Linked DNA regions of Mus musculus. The main gene of each other region encodes a partner of the protein of the gene in region 3 in a complex. Links are inferred from orthologs where the notes say so. Each region holds a gene or a part of one and is shown on either strand. Other genes may lie near its edges. The genes, in order: Taf13, Taf12, Taf4 and Taf11.

Region 1 (5,599 bases), on a different chromosome or scaffold from region 3:
GGCTCTCAAAAATCACGTGTTTCTGTCCTCCAGATATGTGAGACATGAGCCTCTCTCTCCCTCCTGTGTGGGATATTTCAATCCAGAGAAAATTGGCAAATGACAGTATAGCTAATGATTGTCAGCCATTGCTACTCTGTTTTCTAAAGGTCCTCATTTTGGTTAATTTCTGTGGGTCCTTGCCCTCTGAGCCCTGTCCACCCTCAGCAATGGCTGGCTATGAGATGTTTTTTCTGTCATTTGACATCTTTCCTCCAACTCTAAACTAGACTCCGGAGTCCACGCTAAACTTGTAGAGGAAGCACAGGGCTGTTCACTCTGCTTTGTGCCTGTTCTGCTCATTTGTTTTTCCCAGTTTCCATTTTGGAGTTTGAGTTAAGAGGGTTGAATTATCCATGCTTCATAGTTTATACGCTGATAGCGTAAGTGTCTATAGTCCTTTCCTTTTTACTTATACATATTTATACATATTTATTTATGCCCTATTTCCACCTTTTCTGTGTTGCCATCTTTCTGATATATTTAATGTCTCTGCTTTTTGTTTATTTGTTTGTTTGGTTTGGTTTTTCGAGACAGGGTTTCTCTGTGTAGCCTTGGCTGTCCTAGAACTCACTCTGTAGACCAGGCTGGCCTTGAACTCAGAAATCCGCCTGCCTCTGCCTCCCAAGTGCTGGGACAAAAAGCATGGACCACCACTGCCGAGCTTTGGTTTTCTTGTTTTGACTATGTAGCCCTGGCTGGCCTCTAACTCAAAGAGATCTTCTGGCTTCTGCCTCCCAAGGCAGGGATTAAAGGCGAGTGCCACTACACTTAGCTCTTTCATAATTTTAAAATATTTTCTTATTATTGTGTATGGAAGCCAGAGGACAACCTTGCAGACTCTGTCTTCTCACCTTTCACTTTTTATACAGGTCCCAGGGATTGAACCTGAGCCTTAGGCTTATTCCGCTAGAGCTTTTATTGACTGAACCATTTCTCTAGCACATCTTTTGTAATTTAAAAAAAAAAAAAAGAAGAAGAAGCAAAAAACGGCCGGGCAGTGGTGGCGCACGCCTTTAGTCCCACCACTTGGGAGGCAGAGGCAAGCGGATTTCTGAGAACGAGGCCGGCCTGATCTACAGAGTGAGTTCCAGGATAGCCAGGGCTACACAGAGATACCCTGTCTTGAAAAAACCAAAAAAAAAAAAAAAAAAAAGCGCAAAACAACCTTCCAACCCAAACTACATATATATATTGCGTATTAACGGAGGCAGGAAAGATTGCTCCGTGGTTAAGAGTATTGGCTGCTTTTCAAGAGACTTGAGTTTGATTCCTAGCCCCTATATAGCGGTTCACAATCGTCTATCTCTAGTTCCAGGAAATCGGTTGCTCTATTTTGGCTTCTTTGGTGCTGCACACACATGGTACACATACTTGCCGGCAAAACACCTATTTACATAAAAGAAAGTAGATATATAATTATATAATAATATAGATACTATATATAATATCATGGGGCTTGTGTACTTGAGTGGATCAGCCCCAGAGGCAAAAAGTCATCCTATTTTTACAGGCATTTGTGAGCCTCCGTAAGTATGCACAAATTTATCACTTATGTTTTCTGAGACATGGGCTCATGAAACTTGAGCTGATCTCGAACTCGAAGCCCTCTTGCCTCTGCCTGCCAAGTGCAGAGATTTCCCGGCGTAGTATACCACGCCTGGCTTCTTTGTAATTTTTAATTCCTCCTTCAGGATTCCACACGTAAGAGCACGTCACTGACTTCCAGCCAATCCCAAGGCCGGGGTTGGGTAGGAGAATGAACGCGCACGCCTCTCTGCGCAACGCTGGCCAGGCCGGAAGTGACGTACGTATCTTATAAAACTCGCCAGCCGCCGGTGGGCGGGTTCAGAAGGCTGGCGAGCAGCTAGCATGGCAGATGAGGAGGAAGACCCCACCGTGAGTGAGCGCCTGTCTCAGCCTGGTTCCTCACTCCTTTCGGATCACTAGCGGAGGCAGAGTCTGACCCGCTTGTGCCTTAGGGATTCCCGCCGAGAGTCCGGGGGCTCCGCGGTGTTTTCCTTTTTTGGTTTACCTTAGTCAGTGCGTGGGACAAGACGGGAAGGAAGAGTAGAAAGGGTCTCTCTTTGACCTGGATCTTCCCGACACTAAGACATCTAGAGGGTCATAGGAGATCAAAGCTGATTAAAGCGGAACCAGCAGCCCAGATGCTGACAAAACTAGTGAAGATAGCGGAGAAACGATGAACTAAAGACAGGAAGCTTGGGATCCAAATTCTCCTTTGGCATCGGTTTTCTTGTGAGGTAGAGTCCAGCCCAGTTAAGGAAAGTTCTTAGCCCTTTATCAGTTGCTTCCGATGACAGCAGAGAGTAGATTTTAAACTACCAGGTTTTTACAGTAGTCTTGCTTAGCAGTGTGACAACTAAATTGGCTAAAACCAAACCCAGAACCTGAGGTCGTTAGAACTTTACACACGCACGGTTGTAAGGTTGTTAGCAGCCGTAATAAAAGCCTTCTTGCACGACTTGAGAATTGGACTAGGGCTTATGAGCCCTTTGGTGCTAAATTTTCGTGGTTTTGTGCAGTTTGCTTTAGCTTCTCACTTTCGAAAATGAAAAAGGGTCACTGGGCGTGGTGGCGCACACCTTTAATCCCAGCACTCAGGAGCAGAGGCAAGCGGATCTCCGTGAGTTCAGGCAGACACGGGCACATAGTGAGACCACTTTGTCTCAAAAAAAAAAAAAAAAAAAGTGTAGAGAGATAGCTTTAGTGCTTAGGAGCATTTGCTGTCACATCTGGCAACCTACAGCGATTAGACCTAGTTTGGCCTCTATGGGCAACAGCAGGCACATTTATGTAGGCACACAATACACATAAATAATAAATGCCTTTAAAAAAAAAGATGAAAAGAGTGCAGGAGGTGTAGCTCAGTGGTCAAGCATCTGTTTAGCATCGTGAGCTCGTGGGTTCAATTCACAGCACTCCACAAAGAGGGCGAGCAGGAGGAGACTCGAGGGAATATCACGTGCACTGCAATCATTTGCCATGTCCGTGTTTTAAAATTTCTAGTTTGAGGAGGAGAATGAAGAAATTGGAGGAGGAGCGGAAGGTGGCCAGGGGAAGAGAAAGAGACTTTTCTCGAAAGAATGTAAGTTGTACTTTCTAGTGTTTTTATTACAGGTGGTGAAAGCTTTTGAACATGTCTTTTCAGAGTATATTGTTCTGCATATGTTTGTTTATAGGGACAGTGTTCTCAGAGTTGCCTATAAGGTTGCCTGTTTTTATTCTTGGTGTTTGTTTGTTTGTTTGTTTGTTTTAAAGATAGGCTCTGTATAGCCAAGGCTATACTGGTGCTTACTGTTTAGCCCATGCTAGCCTTGGTTTGGTGGTAGTCCTGCTTTAGCCTCTCAAGTCCTGGGATTGCAGGTGTGCATCCCATGGTCAGTATAAGTCTCTCTCATGTCTACTAATTCTCTCTGTGTGACATAAAATAATGAATGTGATCACCTCTGCCCTCCTCCTTGAGGCAGGGTTTTTTTGTTTTGTTTGTTTTTGTTTTTCTTTTCCTTTTTTGAGGCTTGGTTTTTCTGTGTAGCCCTGGCTGTCCTAGAACTCTTTCTGGAGTTTAGAATAGATCAAGATCTGCTAGTCTTGAACTCACAGAGATGTGCCTGCCTGCCTCTGCCTCCTGGGTGCTGGGATTAAAGCTGTGAACCACCACCACCCAGCTGAGGCAGGGTTTTTAGATCCCAGCATGATTTCAAACTTGGTATGCATATGCGTATAACCTTGAACTTGCAAGAACCTTGCAAGAACCTTGAACTTCTGCTCTCCTATCTGTTTCCCTGGCTCTAGATGTACAGGCATATGCCATGGCTCCCAGTTGACATTTTGAACGTTGTATCCCTCTTGTGTCCACCTTTCAAATGATGTAAGTTGAGGCTTTGGACTAAGGCATAGCTCAGGGCAAGAAGGTGGTGAAGTGTGCTGTGGAGATGACAGTGCACTAGCCTTCCATGGTGCTCCTTAAACAGACAGGTAGCCCTTGGGGCAGCGCAGGGTGAGCGGTGTCCACTTGTTGTGCCCATACTAATTCCTGAAAGGCCCATGAGACTGCACTCTCCATCCCTTCTCCCAGGCTCCTTGGCTGAGCCTTGGGAAGTACAGCGGCAGAGATTTATAAATGCCTGAGTACAGTAGGATTGAAAAATTCTAGAAACTGCAAGATCAGCCTTTAACTCTCTAAATCTTTTTTGATCCCAGCTCTTGGGAGAGATAGGGATGGGAGAATTTGAGTTCAGGGTCTTCCTCATTGAGTTTGAAGGCAACTTCGGCTGTATCTTACAACCATAACAGAAATCCTCACTAGTACCTTCCAGTTTCGTTCAAGTCTGACCACTTCCCATTCTGTCTCACTGATGCTAGTTACGTGATTTGTGTGTGGTTTTACTCCTTATGTGGACATATGAAAACGACCCTTACACTAAAGTGCTCTAGGAATGGTATTCACCCTGCTGCTTGTCCAAACCTTTAGTTCAGTTTCAACTGCTCTACTTTTGTGATGACAAAAATTTGGAATCTTCGCAGGCTTCTCCCACTGACTTAATAGAATCTTCATGTCTCTTCTATTTTTGCTGGGGTTTTTTTTGTTTGTTTGTTTTGTTTTTGTTTTTTGTTTTGGACAGGGTCTTGCTGTGTGGTCCAGGTTGACCTTAAACTATTGTTTCTCTTGACTCCATGATTCCCTCCTTCTACCATGTGATGGTACTCAGAAGGTACCAGATATGGAACTCAGGTCTTCAGGCTTGGCAGCAGGTGACCTTATGTGCTGAGCTATCTCCCTGGGCTACATTATTATTATTATTATTATTATTATTATTATTATTATTATTACATCATTTTCCCCCCTTCCCTTTCATCCCTCCAAACCCTCCCATATACTCCTCCTTGCTTTTTCAAATTCATAGGCTCTTTATTAATTGTTGTTGTATATATACACATATGTACATACATTCTCTCTCTCTCTCTTTCTCTCTCTCTCTCTCTCTCTCTCTCTCTCTCTCTCCAAGTATGTCAGGACAACTTGCTCTGTCTGTTTTCAAGGGCTTACCACTGGTTTGGACAGCCAGTTGGTGTGCTTAAGGCTGGGAAGACTGCTCCACCCTTTCCCAGAATTCCTTAGTTGCCTGCAGTTCTTCTAGGAGAGTTGAAGCCTCCTGGGCTTCCCCCTCTCCACATTAGCGTGTCTGTTTTTGTTGCCCTGGGCAGCTTGTTTGATTTTGAGACAGGGTTTCCTATAGCCTAGGCTGCTTTGTCACTGAACTTGAACTTCTGATCCTCCTGCCTTTACTTCCCAAGTGCTGAGATTATAGGGGTGTGCCACCATAACCAGTTTTATTCACTTCTGGGAATCTAACCCAGGGCTCTACGAATGCTAAATAGGACCTTCCTGACTGAGCCGCATGCCCAGCCCTACAGATTTCTTTTTCTTATTGTAACATGGAGTTTCAAAGGATCTCCTGTCATTTGTCTATGCTTTACTAACCCTTTGGCCAAATATGTGCATCTTATATAACAAATTTTCTACTCCCAATGAGAT
Region 2 (5,554 bases), on a different chromosome or scaffold from region 3:
GATATTGGGGACGGCATGCAGATCCTTACATTTGCACACCACGTTCCTAACGTTCCTACCCACTCGTGAGCCCTTCCCCCGCCCCTAATGTTCTTACATTAAAAAGAGTGTGTAGAAGAAGCAGATGAATACTTTTGAAACAAACAAACAAAAAAATAGACTGTTGGGCATTACACTTTAATAACGTATGGAGTTCCCTGCCCTTTATAAAGTAGGAGCTACAAAAGAAAGGAGATTCATAAATGGGAAGAGGTGTAGTTGAAACTGGTGAAGCCGGGCGTGGTGGTGCACGCCTTTAATCCCAGCACTTGGGAGGCAGAAACAGGCAGATTTCTGAGTCCGAGGCCAGCCTGGTCTACAGAGTGAGTTCCAGGACAGCCAGGGCTATTCAGAGAAACCCTGTCTGGAAACCCCAAAAAAAAAAAAAAAAAAAAAAAAAAGAAAGAAAGAAAAGAAAAGAAACTGGTGAGGAGCCCAGTGGTGCTACCCTCTGTCCATCAAGGGGCCCTTCTATAATCCAAGTGTTCATTTATCGCCACACACTTTATTTGACACATGCACCTACTGTGGAGCAGTGGCTAGCTTGAAAACCAGGCTGGCCTCAAACTCAGAAACTGACTTGCCTCTGCCTCCCGAGAGTAGGGGCCAATGGTTTGAGCCAAGATACCCATCCACCCTACCCATCCACCCAATGCTTCCTTAAATACAAATTACCATCTCAATCCTCAGTTTTCATGCCTTTCCACTGAACACTGAATAAAATCCACCCCCCATTTCCACCTGTCCCTTCCTGTCCCCTAACCAAACTTCAGCCTTACTGCTCATCTAGTCTTTTTTTTTGTTTGCTTGTTTTTTTGAGACAGGGTTTCTCTGTGTAGCCCTGGCTGTCCTGGAACTCACTCTGTAGACCAGGCTGGCCTCAAACTCAGAAATCTTGCCCATGCCTCCCAAGTGCTGGGATTAAAGGCATGAGCTAGCACTGCCTAGCGCCTGTAAACTCTTAAGGACAATGATGACTGACTTCCCCAACAGGATATACCCAGCACACAGCAAAAAACAAAAACAAAAACAAAAAAACAGTTTAGTACATCCAAGGATGCAAGCACAAAAACTGATTGGCCAAACTCTGAGAACCATGATAGAAAAATAAAGCTGGGGCTTGAGAGGTGGCTTTCTCTCGAACCTGGCAGTCTTGCAGAGGGCCTGGGTCAATGCCAGCAGTCACATGGTGGCTCACAACTATCTGTAACTTCAATTGCAAGGCTTCAGATACCCTCTTCTGACCTCTTTGTGCACCAGGAATGCACATGGTGTACATATATAAATGCAGACAAAACACTTTTCCGCATAAAATAAATCCAAAAAGAAAAATAAGGTTATAAACAGTTTGCCACTTAATGGTTAAGCCCTTGCATCCAGGATTTTGGACCAAGAGGGTGGATGAGCCTAATGGGATGAAGATACAAAGATAGAATGGATTCTTTATGGGCAGGAACCGTTGATAGCTCTGAGATGTCAGACTTCTATACACTCGTTTGCGAGATCTCTATTTTACTAAGAATCCTTGCCGGGGACTGAAACTGCCTGTTGCTTACATGCCTAGCAAAAAAAAAAAAAAAAAAAGTACTCAAATCTCAGGGCTTAGTGGTTTAACAGTTACTGTACCAGCCCGGGCTTTGGAGTAAGAATTTTCAATTCAAGTTGAGAACCTACATCCCTTAGGAATTTCACGTTTCTTCCACTATTACATGACATACTCCAAGTGAGGGACTGAACCAGTCCCTCACAGACAGCTCTCGTCCAAGTGTATGTTGACTACAGATTAACTAATAGGCACAATCAGCTTCTCTAGTCTCCAAGTTCTCGTGCTGGTTGAGAGTCCCATAGTTGGTATCTATGCAGAACTGCGGTCCCATCCTTATAGCACCACAAAGGCACCAACCAAAAATGGCGACTTGGAAGCTCTCCGAGGCCGTCGGTTACCGGTCACGCTCGTGAAAGAGATGAGTCGTAAAGAAACATCTAGGACAGGGATTCACGCCGTGGTAGGGGACGCAGAGTAGACCCACGCCACCAGCAAGCCACACAGAGCAGAAAGCCCGACCTGCCAAGCCAGGCGCTGGGCTCACAGTCCTACCACGTGTTGTAGTACCATCTGCGCCTGCGCTAGTGAGGCGCGCGCCCGGCGGCCGGAAGAGCCGCGCGTTTCCGGGTTGGAGGCGGGGAGCGGTGCCGGAAGTGCTTGGGGAGGGCCGCGCAGTCGGACCGGCTGCTGAGACGAAAGCTTCACTGGGGCAGTCTCCGCATATCATGGGGAGATAGACGCTGCTGCCTGTGAGTCTTGGGCCCTGGCAGTTGAGGACGAAGAGCGGGAGGAGGGTGTCAGGACCCAGACCCACAGCGGGTCAGTGCTGGAAGAACTAGGCTGTGGAAGAGACGGGGCTGAGGAGCCCAGGCTCTTGGGACGGGACTTGAGGGGTTCGGGCTCGCAGAAGCAGCGGCTGTTGGGGACTCGAGCTCTGAATGAGAGACTTAGGAAACGGGGACGGATGTGGATTCTGCAGCATCTGAGGGAAAGCCTTCTGAGAGGGACAGGATGGTGAGGATCCCGCACTTTATAGGAGGCGAGGGTAGGAACGAAACGGGGCGTGAAGACACAGGCTCCAGAGAGGTAAAAGTGGAGCCCGAGAGGACTCGGGCTCCTAAGAGACAGAAGCGGGACAGTAAAGTCCCAGCTCCTAAGGATTCAGAAACCGGGCAGCAAAGACTTGAGGACTGGAGCTAGAGAAGGAGGCAGAGAAGACTTGAATTTGAAAGGGAATCGAAGCGGGCAGTGAGGACTGGGTCTTCTTTGGGGACAAGATCCGGGCTTTCAGACTCAAGAGTTTCTGGAGGGACAGAGATGTAAGGACCCGAGCTCCTAAAAGTGAAGGAACTAGGGGGTCCTTAACGGCTGGGAGATCAGCCTTCAAGGGAGAAAAGTTGAAAAGGTTTAGCGATCTGTTCTCTGTACCCGGAGGATTAGGATATATATATTCGGGGGAAGACTTCTTGGCGCTGCCTATTTGGCTTTTGGCATTTAGGCTTTTTCTTGTGTCCGTTACTTAACCTAGAAAAGCCACATGAAACGTCTTCGTTTTTCTTCATTATTGTGAATCAGATGTGAAGCTGAAAGCAGTTTGAACTCAGTTATATACTTGATAAGTACCTTAAGCCCTGTTCCATTCAGCCCCCGTTGAGCACAGATCTCTATATCACTAGCAAACTGTCATAGATGGAAGGGCAGCAAAAGAACACTTTGAATTCTTTTACATTTAAGAAAAAGAGGATGCAAAGAGGGATTAGGATCACTGTGAGCCAGATTCTTAGGTTATACAGTACTCTACCATGTACATCGAAGAAGAGATGCTTGCTTGAAATTATTTGAATAAATGCTTTTAGAATCTCTACCCTCAAACTCAGAAGGGATTTTTTTCTAACGGATTTTAATATTTTAGTACCTATTATGTATGGCATTGGCATAAATGTTACAAGGGAGGAAACAAACTTTTAAGTGAAAAGTCTTTTATTTATTTTATTTATTTATAAATTTTATTTTTCAATAAGATGTTGAGAAATTCACAAGTAAATGTGGCCTAGAACATTTTCTAGGGATTGCTTTTAGAAGAGTGACTTGGACCCTGTCATTTCCCTTCATAAAGACCCAGGACTGAAACCTACTCAGATGAATCGTGCACAACTTAAGCACTTTGGGCTTTTTGTTCTGTTTTCTTTTGGTTTGTTTGTTTGTTTGTTTGTTTGTTTTCAAGACAGGGTTTTCTGTGTAGCCCTGGCTGTCCTGGAACTCACTGTGTAGACCAGGCTGGCTTCAAAGTCAAGTCCACCTGCCTCTGCCTCGGAGCGTTCGGTTTAAAGGTGTGCACCTCCACCATGAACAACTTAAACACTTTTAAGTATTCCACCCCTTCCTTATCACAGCCCCACAGTTAAGTATGGTTAGTCCTGTTGTCTGTCCAGAGAGGTTAAGGGGTTTGTCATAAAGTACTGAGTAGCTTATCTGCAAATGTGCCTCCAAAGCTTTCTTGAGCTTTTCTAAGTGGATTTCCTGCCATGTGTAGTATGCATGTGAATGAAATATAAGTAATATTTATAAATCCTTCCACTGAATGAAAGCACACCCCTCCTCCCCAAACTACTTAGCTCCCCCTAGCCTGGAAATTGCTGTGTAGACCAGGCTGGCCTCAAACTCAGAGATGCACCTGCCTCTGACTTCAGAGCGCTGGTGATTCAAGGCTACATCACCAAAACCAGCTTCTTAACTCCTTTTCAAGTCAAGGACTGTAACTTTTAAGATACTTCCATAGTATTTGACATCTGAATTCCTGTGTTTTCACAGAAGCATAAATATTCCAGGTAGAATCTTTCCCATAATAGAGTAGGTTATTTTTATTTATTTATTTTTTAATTAGGGCGACATCAGATTAACTTTGCAGTTAATTGCTAGCATATACTCGATGTTGTGAATGCTCGGGCTATAATTCCATTACATTGGAGGTGGAGGCTGGACGATCAGGAGTTCAATGTCAACATAAAACTTTATCTCAAGGAGAAACAGAAGAAGAGCAGATCAGGTGAGGTGGTTCTCCTGGTAAGGTGATTGCCACAAGGAGTGATGATTTGAGTTCAGTCCCTGAGTCCTGCATGGTGGAAGGAGAGAACCAACTCCCAAAATTATCCTCTGACCACATCAGCACAGACACACTGAATAAAGAAAAGGTTGTTTTTTTTTTTTTTTTTTAACATACTTGAAGCTATTATTTTCCCAGGAGCTTAGCTGCTCTATTATTTTTTTTAAGGTTTTACTAAAGGTGATGAGACCCGAACAGCCAGCACACAGAGAAAAACCATCCACAAAGCAAAGGGGGGATTTTTGAAGCCAAAGCCTCTGGTACCATTTTTAAAGATTTGTTTGTTTGTTTATTCATTTCTTATCGGGAAGGGGCATTGAGTCAGGGTCTCTCCGTGTAGTCCTGACTGCCTTGGAACTCTGCAGACCAATTCTGCTGGCCTCAAATTCACAGAGACCCTCCTGCCTCTGCCTCCTTATTTTTTATGTGTATGAATGTTTTGCCTCACTATGTGTCTGTGTACATCGGTGCTTGATTTAGAGTCCTGAAAAGGGCATTGAGTCCCCCTAGAACTGGGTTGTAAGTCATTGTGTGGATGGTGGGGACAGAAGCTAGGCCCTCTGCAAGAGCAACAAGTTCTTTTAACCACTGACCCATCTCCTGTTCCTGATACTGTTTTCAGAAGCCTGCATAAAAGTGATCAGCATTTTTTTATACCAAGTTATGAGCAAAAGCATACCTTTATCACCATCTTGTTGATTTTAATTTGGGAGGTGGCCGTCTTTTTTAGTTAGGGTCTCACTGTGTACCTAAGACTCTGTTGCCTTGGTTTCTTGAATGCTGAGATTATAGGTATGCACCACAATTGATAGTTCAACTAGTGATAATGGATTGCTGAATTAGCATTCTTACCTATATTTACAAAA
Region 3 (4,816 bases):
GTCAAGAGGACTGAGCATGCTTGAAGTACCAAGAATGAGAACAAGGCAGAGCAAACGCCATACATACCCTGGCTCCCAAGCCTTGAGGTCATCAGTCTTGATGCCAGGCTGTGCTGTCCCAGTGTGCAGTGCCCCCACACCCTCAGCACCGTAAGCGCAGGGTCTGTAGCACACTCTCTTCTGTGCCTTGTGTGGCCTTGCTTTTGTCTGGTGCCTTCCCTGAATAGCTGACAATTAAGAGATGGCGGAGGAATCCTGCCTGATACTCCCTCTAGAGTTGTGCCCTGTCCTGAAGATGGGCTGTCTGTGATGGAGGTGGGCAGAGCTCCCATAGGAAACGACAGAGAGCACCTCTGCAGTGTTGTTTCCTGAGGAGGAAGCATGTGGACTGCTGTGGGAGGTTCTCTGTGGCGGTGGTACCTCTCATCTGACCTTGTGCCTGAACTCACGCTGCTCTGGTCACCTCAGGGCTCCGGGCATCTCCATCCTGCTTGACTCTGTCTCCCTTTCACACTCTTTCACACTCTGTGTCTAGGACTCAGGGCATCTCCACTCTCAGTTCAGGCCAGTGTCCCATAAGAGCATTGCCACAGCTGGCTTTCCAGATGTCTGCTTTAAAAGACGGCGTTTCGTAGACTTCACTAAAAGAGACTGTTTTTAGGATTTTCCATGAAAAGTTTCTCATCATAATTTTTTATTTTGGGCTTTGACTGATTTCCTTGTAGGTTAGTAGTAAGCAGTGGATTACTTGAGTGCAGTGGTGTATTTTTAAGAGTCTGTGTATACGCATGTGCACACATACATGTGCACAGGTGTAGGTACTACTTACGGTAGCTCATTTTAGATGATTTTTAACTTATTTTCCAGGCTCCAGGAACACCTATTATTGCACGGCAGGTGACCCCAACTACCATAATTAAGCAAGTGTCTCAGGCCCAGACGACGGTACAGCCCACTACAACCCTACAGCGATCTCCCGGGGTACAGGTAAGAGGATGCAGCCTAGTGCATCAGTAGGGATGCATGGCTGACAATGCATGCTTTTGCTTCGATGTAAACACTAGGCTTTAGGGTACCAGGTTGAATTTGAGGATGCAGGGGGTCAATGAAGAAAGTGATTTTTCTGTGTCTGAATGCAGGCTACATCTTTTCCTTATTTAGCATTGGCAGCATTCAAAAGCTCTTTATAAAATGTAATTAGGAACGTCACCTCATTAATATTTGACTCAGAGCATCTTTGAGGAGGGAGTCTGTGCTGAGGAGAGTTTGTGTCTGTGCTGTGGCCCCATTACATGCTCATGGACGGTGCTACTAGTGTGTGTGCAAGGTGTCCTCTCAACTTCCTGTGGCAAATTTGTAGATGAGCTAGGGAGGGGAGAGTGGGGGAGGGGCATTCTCCCTAGCCTTGCTTTCCTAGTGTCAGTGCTCCAGGGAGCAGCAGGGGAGTTACCTGCAGACCCTGGCCTTACCTGATCAACCTGTGCAGCTTCTAGCGTATAAAGCCAAGGGGAGCTTCCGTGCCAGGGGCTCCTCCTTGCAGAGGCTGAAGCAGATGTTAGGCGTGGTGGAAAGGACTGGTTAGGGAGGGCATAACATGTTTGCAGAGATGTACTTGGTGAAGACACATCTGATCAGGGAAACACTTGTAGGGAAGATGTCATTGGCTGGGGAGGCAAACATTGGTTAGGGAAGCTCACTCTCTGGGCACTCATTTGGGAGTAGGTGGGAAGCAAAGAGCCTCAAAGGCTCCTGATGTTGAGTTTGGAGCAGTCATACAGTACAGGGCTTTGAGCTCTAACCACGTTGGATTCGTGCTCACTCATACATGATCTTAGCTGAAGTGTTCCTGATTAGCTGCACCTCGTCCCAGTGGAGCCTGAACTGAGTGAGGGCGGTCCACACGGGGGCTTCTCTGAACTTTTCTGAACTCAGCTCCAACTTTTCTGAGTTCAGCTCCATTTTCTTCAGTAGCTGTGGAGAGCAAGAATATCTTGGAGAACGGTTCTGTGAGTCAGGAGAGAGGCCTGTGTGTTTCAGAAGCTGGAGTCTGGGAGACCTGCGGTTTCCTGAGGGGAACTTGTAGTGCTGCCTGTGCCTGACTCCAGCGTCTGCTTCTCTGAGGAGGAGGAAGAGGCTCTAGAAGCTACTGAAGTGCTTGGTAAATTGTGTGTCACGTTTTAATGGTGACAAATGCTTTGAGGTTAGTGGACAGTTTACAGTCAGGGTGAGTGTGTCCCTTGCCATAGCTGTCAGCTGGAGTGAAGGAAAGATGGCAAGAAGGGTCTGAGTCCTGCTGTCCCTGGCTTGTTGAGTCAACTCTTAGTTTGTTTTTGCATATTATCTTCACATGTTTTGGTTTGGTGGGCAATACGTGCTTATCATACAGAGACAATTATCACCCCTGAATCTGTTGCCAGCTGCAGGGTAACTTGGGGGCCAAGAGGCCTGGAGGTAGCTTAGTACTTGTACAGCTCTCTCATAAGCACCTGTGGCTGGGATCCTCCAAGGCTTTCTCTAAGGGGGCTGAAGATTTGCCTAAAGCTGCTCTAGAGCTCTCCTTGGTGTGGGTGTGAGATGTCACACTGCTCCCTGCTTTCAGATGAAGGGAGGGGACAGTGTTTAATAAACTGGAGTGAGGAAATGTGGGCAGCTAAATTTGTAAATTGGAGAGGTAATAATGTAAAAACCGGTAAATATTTCATTGTGATTATTCAAGAATAGAGAAATCTTAGGAAAGAGACTAAGGGTCAGTGGTTTGGAGAGTCTGAGCCTGTTGACATCTAAGTGCCCATTTGCGTTGCAAATGTTTTATGTTCGGTCAAGGAGTACCTTCCCACAGCTGGGCCAGTGCCTGTGACCCAGCTCTTATACCTGTGCCTCTGCATGCTGTGGCTTCTCGTCAGGCCTTACTTTTGGAAAGCAGAGCTCGTTAGTGCAGGTACTTGTGGGGAGTGGAGGCCTTTCCCTTGTCTTGGTGGCCTGTACGGACTCTGGCAGATGCTATGTGCTGGGAGGTCACAATTGCTTTCTAGCCAGGGCTCTATGAACAGATTAAAGGGTTCTCAGGAGGAGTGTCTGAGATGACAGCTCATTGTGTATCCAGTCCTCTGTGCTTGTCTCTGTGGTAGCCGTTAGTCAGTGTGACAGATTCTGGACAGTGACAGGTTCAAGCCCCTCAGGTTTATTGTAGATACAAGCATACCTCCATGTGTCTCTGTGGGCCTCAGGTGCGGGGCCAGGGATGCCCTTGGCCACCTCACATGGCTGCAGGAAGGGTGCCTACCTGGCCCTTGTTGAGCCATTTGCTCCCTACGTTTTCAGAAGCTGTTTTACTTTTGGGCTTGTGCTGCTGTTGCGATGCATTCACCTGTGTTTTGACCTTCTAGCCTCAGCTGGTTCTGGGTGGCTCCGCACAGCCAGCCTCACTTGGAACAGCCACAGCTGTTCAGACAGGGACACCTCAACGAACAGTCCCTGGGGCCAGCACCACCTCTACAGCTGCCACGGTAAGAACTCCCTTTGAGACGCCTATGGGCAAAGCCATTGGTATTAGTGGGGAAATGGAGCTGGTATATACAGGGGCTTGAGAATATTTTGGGGCCCACAAGCCAACCAAGAGCAGTGGTGCATTGAAGGGACCCACGTGAGAGCTTGGGTCTGTCTTCCCCTTATGGGGTGACCTGCACATGCTGGCCTCTGAGGAATGGTAGGAAAGGGCCCTGAGCGTCCTACTTGGGATCTAGGACCCTACAGAGACCTGTGGAAGCCACATATATGTAGCTGCTGAGCACCTGTGGTCTGGGTGTCTGTCTGTCTATCTGTCTGTCTGTGTTTGTCTTCACTACTTTTCCTTTATGTACCTGGAGTTTTAGAGAAGCTGGGACCCTATTTTGCAACTTCTCTTTTTGTATTCTTTGCCAAGTACTTTTAACCATTTCCAGGAGCTGCCTGGGACTTTGTGTGCTTGTGCACATTTAGGCAAGCAGCAGCCCCTGTCCCGACGTAAGGGCAGTGTCTTGGTGGATGCAGCCTTCCCTTAAAAGGGCTGGTTGAGAGACGCAGACTTGGTGGCCTTCAGAGTGGCTGATTGCCCTTCAGAGAAGATTATGGCTCATGCAAGAAGTAGTGTGGTTTTGAAGGAAGTTGAGATGCTGAGTTTACATTTTTCAGACCTGTACACATTTCACTGCAGTGGGGTCCTGTGGGGAAATCTCCTGTAACTTACACCTGTTTTATTTTAATACAGGAAACTATGGAAAATGTGAAAAAATGCAAAAGTTTTCTATCTACATTAATAAAACTGGCTTCCTCTGGTAAACAGTCTACAGAGACAGCGGCTAATGTGAAAGACTTAGTACAAAACTTACTGGTAAGTTCACATGAAACCCTCTGCCTCACCATGCTGTGTGACCTGCAGCCCATGTGCAGCCTGTAGGGCGACCTGCGTGTGCAGGTGAGAGCCTGTGGAAGGATCTAGTGCTGGGGTGCTGGGGTGGGGGATGCACTGTTGCCAAGATGTGTGCATTGCTTGGCATGACTTTTCTGGGGACTTGGCTGATACCCCAGTGTTCCTTCTGCACTTAGATGGGTCAGGGGATGTGCCAGCACTAGGGAGGGAGGGAGGGAGGGAGGGTGGGTGGGTTGGTTAAAGGGCTCCTTTAGAAGTACCTGCCTGTGCTTGAGAGTCATAGAACATATGTCTGACAGCCAGTGTTGCTTCAGGTGGCAGCCCACTGTATCCTTCCTTCCCCTTTTAAAACTGAAGGAAACAGGAAGGGTCCTTAAACTCCAGTTTGTAGATAAGGGGTCTCTGCAT
Region 4 (5,550 bases), on a different chromosome or scaffold from region 3:
GGCGCGCGCACTCACCTCAGCAGACTGGAGAGCGGGTGGCTAGAAGAACCGAGGCCGCCGCCCCCGGAGCCGCCGCCGCTGCCTGAGCCGCCGCCGCCGCCGCCGAAGCCGGAGGAGAGCCGCTTCCCGGACAGCAGCTTCTCCACGGCCGGGAGGTGCCCGGTGCGGGCCGCCTCCAGCAGCTCCTGCTCCTTCCCCATCCCCAGGACCGCCACCCCTCGGACCTCAACCCGGAGCCTTGCAGAGCCTGCTCCGGCTCCGAAACTTTCCGTCTCCGGGCAACGCACCCCTCAAACCGGCCGGGGACGCCACCCCCTCTCCCCCCGCCTCCTCGGCCTCCCCCACTCCCTGGCGGCGCGTCACTTCCGGGATCCGGCGTCACGCGTCACCGCGCCCCCGCGCCCCGCCCCCTTGCCCACCTAGTGGGCGGGGCTCGGCGCCGCCGTGCAGGTGAGCCCGCTTGGCGGAGGGGAGCCTCGGTGTGCGGAGCCGAGCCTGGCGCAGGCGCGGTCTACGCCTAGCGGACCCGCCCATTCGCCAGGTGGCGGAGATCGGAGGCGGCACGCCTGCAGGAGCTTCCCGAACTGCTCGCCTTCCCAAAGGTTTGGGACCTCATGGCACTGGAAATGCGGTCATTGTTCCTGGCACCGTAGAAACAAAAGAAAAGGGGGTAACGCGTACCTCTGTTTTCAACTCCATTCAAAACGCATAGATTCAATACGGGATAGGCGCGGAGATCTAGAACCAGACTTGAAAAATCCCTCCCTCTGGTGCCTCCTGGAGGGAAGACCTGAGAGTTTTACTTCTGCAGTTAGACTGGCATTGTGGCAACTGCCATTTGTCCCAGCAGTCGAGAAGCAGAAGCCGCTGGCTGCATCGCTGTGAGTTTAAGGTCAGCCTGATCTACAAAGCAAGTTACGGGCTAGCCAAGGCTACATAGTGAGACCCTCTCTCCAGAAAAAAAAAGGTGGGGGGGGGGGAGGGAGTACGGGGGTGGCTGGAGAGGTGGTTCCCTGTTAAGAGCACTGGTTGCTCTGCCAGAGAATCTAGGTTTGATTCCCATCACTTGTGGCGCCTCACAGCAGTCTGTAACTCCAGCTCCAGCGGATGTAACACCTTTTGCTGGCCTCCCAGGGTACCACGAACGCATGTGGAGCTCAGACTTACATGCAAAACACCCATACACATGAAAAAAAAATGTAAGAACTCTTAACAGACACTATCCTCGCACTCCATCCTACTAACTCTTCAGAAAAAGTCAGAAGAGACCTTCTTTCTCTTAGTTGTCATGAGAGACATTTTAAAAGTCAGATTTGGGGAACCATTTCCAATTTTTAATATTGGTGGACTAAGGAGGGAAATGTAATTGGGAAAGGATGACTTTTTTTTTTTTTTCTGTTTTTCCCTCACAACACTAGCCTGTTCTGACGCGAGGCAGGTGGCCAATATTTGAAGTGTTAAATGAAACCATTGGATACTTTCTGTTGGCGTTAGAGATGCTTGCGAAACAGAAGGGAAACTTCCCTGGTGGACACAAGCCGGTGGTCTTAGTTCTTTGGGAAATCCGAGGTTAGGTCGCTGCCGGAAGCTGCTCAGTCCACGGCAACAACAAGCAGCGGGACCGAGTTCTCTCCCTGTTCCCCGACTTTGGGCTGAAGGAGTAAAGTTAAAGAAGGGTTAATTGGCATTACATTCCCAGGAAGGAGAAGAAAAAGAAGGAAAAAGAAGTCTCTCGGGAAACGAATTACGCTCTTTCAAAAACGCTTCTGCCCTGAAGCGGAGGATCTAGACTTCTACATTTCTTTCACATTAAAACAAATTCCGTTTATATGAATCCCCTGGGCAACCAACGCGCTTCTGGAAGTGACCCCTCCCAGGATCCGTGGGCGTGACGTCATCGCGGCGCGACGACGAGCCCTCAGCTCCAGCTCCGCTCCACAGCTCCTTCTCCCGGCGGTGCTGCCATCGCCTCTGACCCCCTGCTCTCGCGATGGACAACCTCGGGGAGTCGCCCACAGACAAAGGCGGGGAGCCAGGGGAGTCAGAGGAGACGAGGGCTACTCCTGGGGCTTTGGTGGCAGCCGACACTGAGGGAATCCCGGAGGAAACCGACAGGGATGGAGACGCGGACTTGAAAGAAGCCGCGGCGGAGGAAAGCGAGGTAGGTGGAAGTTGGTGGATAACGCTGCAGGACTACCCGGGTGCGCTCCTGACTGCTTTCTTCCAAAGCCAGGGAACTAGAATTCCCCCACGACTGTTTGTGAGTCTGCAACCTTGAGGGGCAGGAGAGGGAACGGGAAGGTGTAGGTGCTGTTAGAGCCCTATTCAGGCCTGCTTGTACTCCAGCTCCTTTTGGGGGAAGGCTGAGGAGGAAGGTGGAGGAGACAAGAAGATAAAAGACGAGGAGAAAATGGTTAAGGACAAATAAATTTGAAAATCTGAAGCACAAAGGTTAGAAACACGCGTAGATCAATAGTGGAAAGTAAGTTAGAAAGGCTGTCAGATAGATAATGCCTTCTCTCCCCCTCTCCATATTTCTGTATGAGTTTAAATATGAATTCCTTCCTTCCTTTCTCTCTTTCTCTCTCTCCCTCTCTTTCTTTCTTCTCCTCCTCCTCCTTCTTCTTTCTCCTCCTCCTTCTCCTTCTCTTCTTCCCCTTCTTCCTCTTCTTCCTCCTCCTCCTTCGAGACAGGGTAGCCCTGGCTAACCTGGAACTCAGGTTCTATAGACCACACTGGCTTCGAATTCAGAGATCCCCTTGCCTCTGACTTCCAAGTGTTAGTATCAAAGGCATGTGCCACCACTTCCCGACATACCTTTCATTTTAAAGGAACCATTAAATCTCATTAATGAGTTTTGATGTATTACGATTTTATAGTAAGTTGGCTAGGACAGAGTTTGGATCACTCTTGTGAATAAAACGGTTAAGTGTTTATGTGAGGAGAAATGTAAATAGTAAACATCTTGAAGACGTTTTTAGCTTAGGGCAGGCGAAATTGTTCAGCAGGTCAGGGTGCTTGATCCCCAGAACCCACGTTAAGGTAGAAGCGGACTATCTGCACAAAGTTGTCCACTTACAAACCCACACACATGAATGTCCGTAGTAACTGAAAAATTGTGGGTTTTTAAGAATATTTTTTATATGAATGTTTTGCCTGTGTATTTTTGTTTGCCGTGTAATGTGCCTGGCACATTCCCTGTAAAAGTCAGAAGAAGGCATTAGATCCCCTGAAACTAGAGTTGCTAATGACTGCGAGCTGAAATGTGGGTGTTGGTAAATGGAACCTAGATACTCTGCAAGAACAGCCAATGCTCTTAACCTCTGAGCTTTCTGCAGTTTTTAGTTTAAACTCAATATAATGGTACAAGTCTATAATTTCCACAAGCTGAAAATCCAAAATGAGACTTTGTCTTAAATTACAAAAGGAAAAAAAAAAAAGCTTCCGAACTGGGCATGGTGGTGCACAGCTTTAAGCCTAGCATTCTGGAGGCAGAGGCAGGTGGACCTCTTGAGTACAAGGCAGCCTGGACTACTACAGAGAGAGTTCAAGGATAGCCAGGGCTATGTATAGAAACTCTGTCTCAAATTATTTAAAAAAATAAAATAAATAAAATTTGTATTCTAGTATTGGGAAAGATCTCGTGATCCAGTAGAGAAAGGATCAGAAGAACAGAGCTCTGTTCAGTGTGGAGCTCCCAAGACACACATGGAAGGGACTGTACTGACATCTATGGAGTGAGGTCAGAAGGGTGGGCCCGAGGGAGAGTGGCTGTTTGGATCCTTGGCATTTTCCTCGTAATGTGTAAACAGATGCAGGACCTCTGTATGATCATGGCTAGGCTGGGAAATGGATTATTCATTTTCTTTTTTGTTTTTTGTTTGTTTGTTTGGTTGGTTGGTTTTTCAAGATAGGGTTTCTCTGTGTAGTCCTGGCTGTCCTGAAACTCACTTTGTAGACCAGGCTGGCCTCGAACTCAGAAATCCACCTGCCTCTACCTCCCAAGTGCTGGGATTAAAGGCATGCGCCACCACCACCCAGCGGATTATTTATTTTCTTTCCCAGCTGGAGTATAATCTTCCTTGGAGAGATGGATTGCCTCTTATGCAGATGGTATAGGCAGTGCCTAGAACTAGATAGCTACTGCGTAGACAGAGTTGCTGGGCTGGAAAGAGGAGGGTGTTTGCTGGCCTTTCCCAAACCTGAGAAGTGTGCCGAGTACATAATAAGAGTTTCTGTCCATCTCTCCAGCTCAAGAGTCAGGATGTCTCAGATGTAACAGCAGCCGAGAGGGAAAACTCGTCCTTACTTACTCCTGCAGCCAAAAAGCTGAAACTAGACATTAAGGACAAGAAGGAGAAGAAGCAGAAGGTGGACGAAGATGAGATTCAGAAGATGCAGTGAGTCACAGAGGTCCCCAGTCCAGGCTCTAACTCCACTCTGTACATTCATGCTTACTGGCTTTTTTGTGTGCTTTTGAGGTAAGGGCTCATGAGACTTAAGCCCTTAGCTCAAAGGTTTCAACTCCTGATCTTCCTGCCTCAGCCTACTTAGTACTGAGATCATAGGCATGAGCTGCTATGCCTGGATATAGTTTCAGGCCAGCAAGATGCCAAGGAAAGGTGCTCACCACTGCTCGCCACCGAACCTAATGACCAGGGTTTAATCCTGGGAAACCGCGTGGTAGAAGAAGGAATGAGGGCCTGGAAACTGGCCTCTGACCACCAAACAGGCATGGTCCTGACAGACACAAAATACATGCATACATGTAAAGGACAGTAAATAGTTGGTTTTTCTAAATGTTTGGGCTTTATACTACATTTGGTCATTGTTTTTCCTTTTCAGTAAATATAGGCTCATTGCAAATAACTCAGAATACAAACAAAACAAAACAAACCTCAAAATCCAGCTAGTAGCGCTTATCCCAAGAGTGTCTATCTGGGAATATTTGTGCAATGTCCTCATGGACATCAGTGTCTCCCGCTGCACTGATCTCACCTATGTGTGAGTCACACCATCAGTCCCTGCACTTACTCTGGCTAGGATTTTTTTTTTTTTTTTTTTTTTTTTATTTTTTTTGGTTTTTCAAGACAGGGTTTCTCTGTATAGCCCTGGCTCTTCTGGAACTCACTTTGTAGACCAAGCTGGCCTCGAACTCAGAAATCCGCCTGCCTCTGCCTCCCAAGTGCTGGGATTAAAGGCGTGCGCCACCACGCCCGGCTTGGCTAGGATTTTTTAAATTTTGTTTCTTTTAACAACATCGTGTTCCATCTCTGGGAACATCTCTACATCTTACCCATTTCTTTCTATGATAAAATACCTGTATAAACACACTGGTATAAATGTTTTCAAAGATGTCTCAACATATTTCTAGACTTAGAAAACTGTGATTTTGTTTAATTGATCATTTCAAGTTCATTGGTAATAATTAAGGTTTTGAGTTGTTTTGTTTGTTTCGTTTGTTTTTTCTCCATCTTGATTAGCCATTGATATTTTTGTGAATTTCCTATTAAGTGATGGTTCATCTTCTAAAACTGGCTCAGCCATCTT

What was found.
Region 1: Taf4 (region 3) and Taf13 share a complex: the UniProt entries of both Homo sapiens proteins name them as parts of the TFIID basal transcription factor complex. The link is inferred for Mus musculus from reciprocal best matches to the Homo sapiens genes TAF4 and TAF13.
Region 2: the proteins of Taf4 (region 3) and Taf12 are in contact, whole or in part, in a crystal structure (PDB 1H3O), measured with the Homo sapiens proteins. The link is inferred for Mus musculus from reciprocal best matches to the Homo sapiens genes TAF4 and TAF12. Residues at the interface, in NP_003176.2 of Homo sapiens: Phe872, Leu873, Leu874, Pro877, Leu878, Arg880, Arg881, Ile882, Ile885, Gly886, His889, Gly890, Ile891, Thr892, Glu893, Leu894, His895, Asp897, Val898, Tyr901, Val902, His904, Ala905, Thr906, Gln907, Gln908, Arg909, Leu910, Gln911, Leu913; in NP_001128690.1 of Homo sapiens: Val57, Leu58, Thr59, Lys62, Leu63, Leu66, Val67, Glu69, Val70, Glu74, Met83, Leu84, Ile87, Ala88, Asp89, Phe91, Ile92, Glu93, Val96, Thr97, Cys100, Ala103, Arg104, Ser108, Ser109, Thr110, Leu111, Glu112, Val113, Lys114.
Region 4: Taf4 (region 3) and Taf11 share a complex: the UniProt entries of both Homo sapiens proteins name them as parts of the TFIID basal transcription factor complex. The link is inferred for Mus musculus from reciprocal best matches to the Homo sapiens genes TAF4 and TAF11.

What each region holds. Positions count from the first base shown.
Region 1 is NC_000069.6:108,569,811-108,575,409, forward strand, and holds the start of Taf13 (transcription initiation factor TFIID subunit 13), read left to right. Parts: upstream 1-1,888; 5' UTR 1,889-1,911; coding exon 1,912-1,938; intron 1,939-3,069; coding exon 3,070-3,148; intron 3,149-5,599. UniProt on the Homo sapiens protein: The TFIID basal transcription factor complex plays a major role in the initiation of RNA polymerase II (Pol II)-dependent transcription.
Region 2 is NC_000070.6:132,272,154-132,277,707, forward strand, and holds the start of Taf12 (transcription initiation factor TFIID subunit 12), read left to right. Parts: upstream 1-2,221; 5' UTR 2,222-2,334; exon of another isoform or gene 2,335-2,404; intron 2,405-4,469; exon of another isoform or gene 4,470-4,631; intron 4,632-5,554. UniProt on the Homo sapiens protein: The TFIID basal transcription factor complex plays a major role in the initiation of RNA polymerase II (Pol II)-dependent transcription.
Region 3 is NC_000068.7:179,934,582-179,939,397, reverse strand, and holds part of Taf4 (transcription initiation factor TFIID subunit 4), read left to right. Parts: intron 1-867; coding exon 868-987; intron 988-3,386; coding exon 3,387-3,506; intron 3,507-4,246; coding exon 4,247-4,369; intron 4,370-4,816. UniProt on the Homo sapiens protein: The TFIID basal transcription factor complex plays a major role in the initiation of RNA polymerase II (Pol II)-dependent transcription.
Region 4 is NC_000083.6:27,904,112-27,909,661, reverse strand, and holds the start of Taf11 (transcription initiation factor TFIID subunit 11), read left to right. Parts: upstream 1-1,917; 5' UTR 1,918-1,990; coding exon 1,991-2,161; intron 2,162-4,251; coding exon 4,252-4,400; exon of another isoform or gene 4,401-4,481; intron 4,482-5,550. Other genes in the region: Anks1 (ankyrin repeat and SAM domain-containing protein 1A), read right to left, coding at 16-200. UniProt on the Homo sapiens protein: The TFIID basal transcription factor complex plays a major role in the initiation of RNA polymerase II (Pol II)-dependent transcription.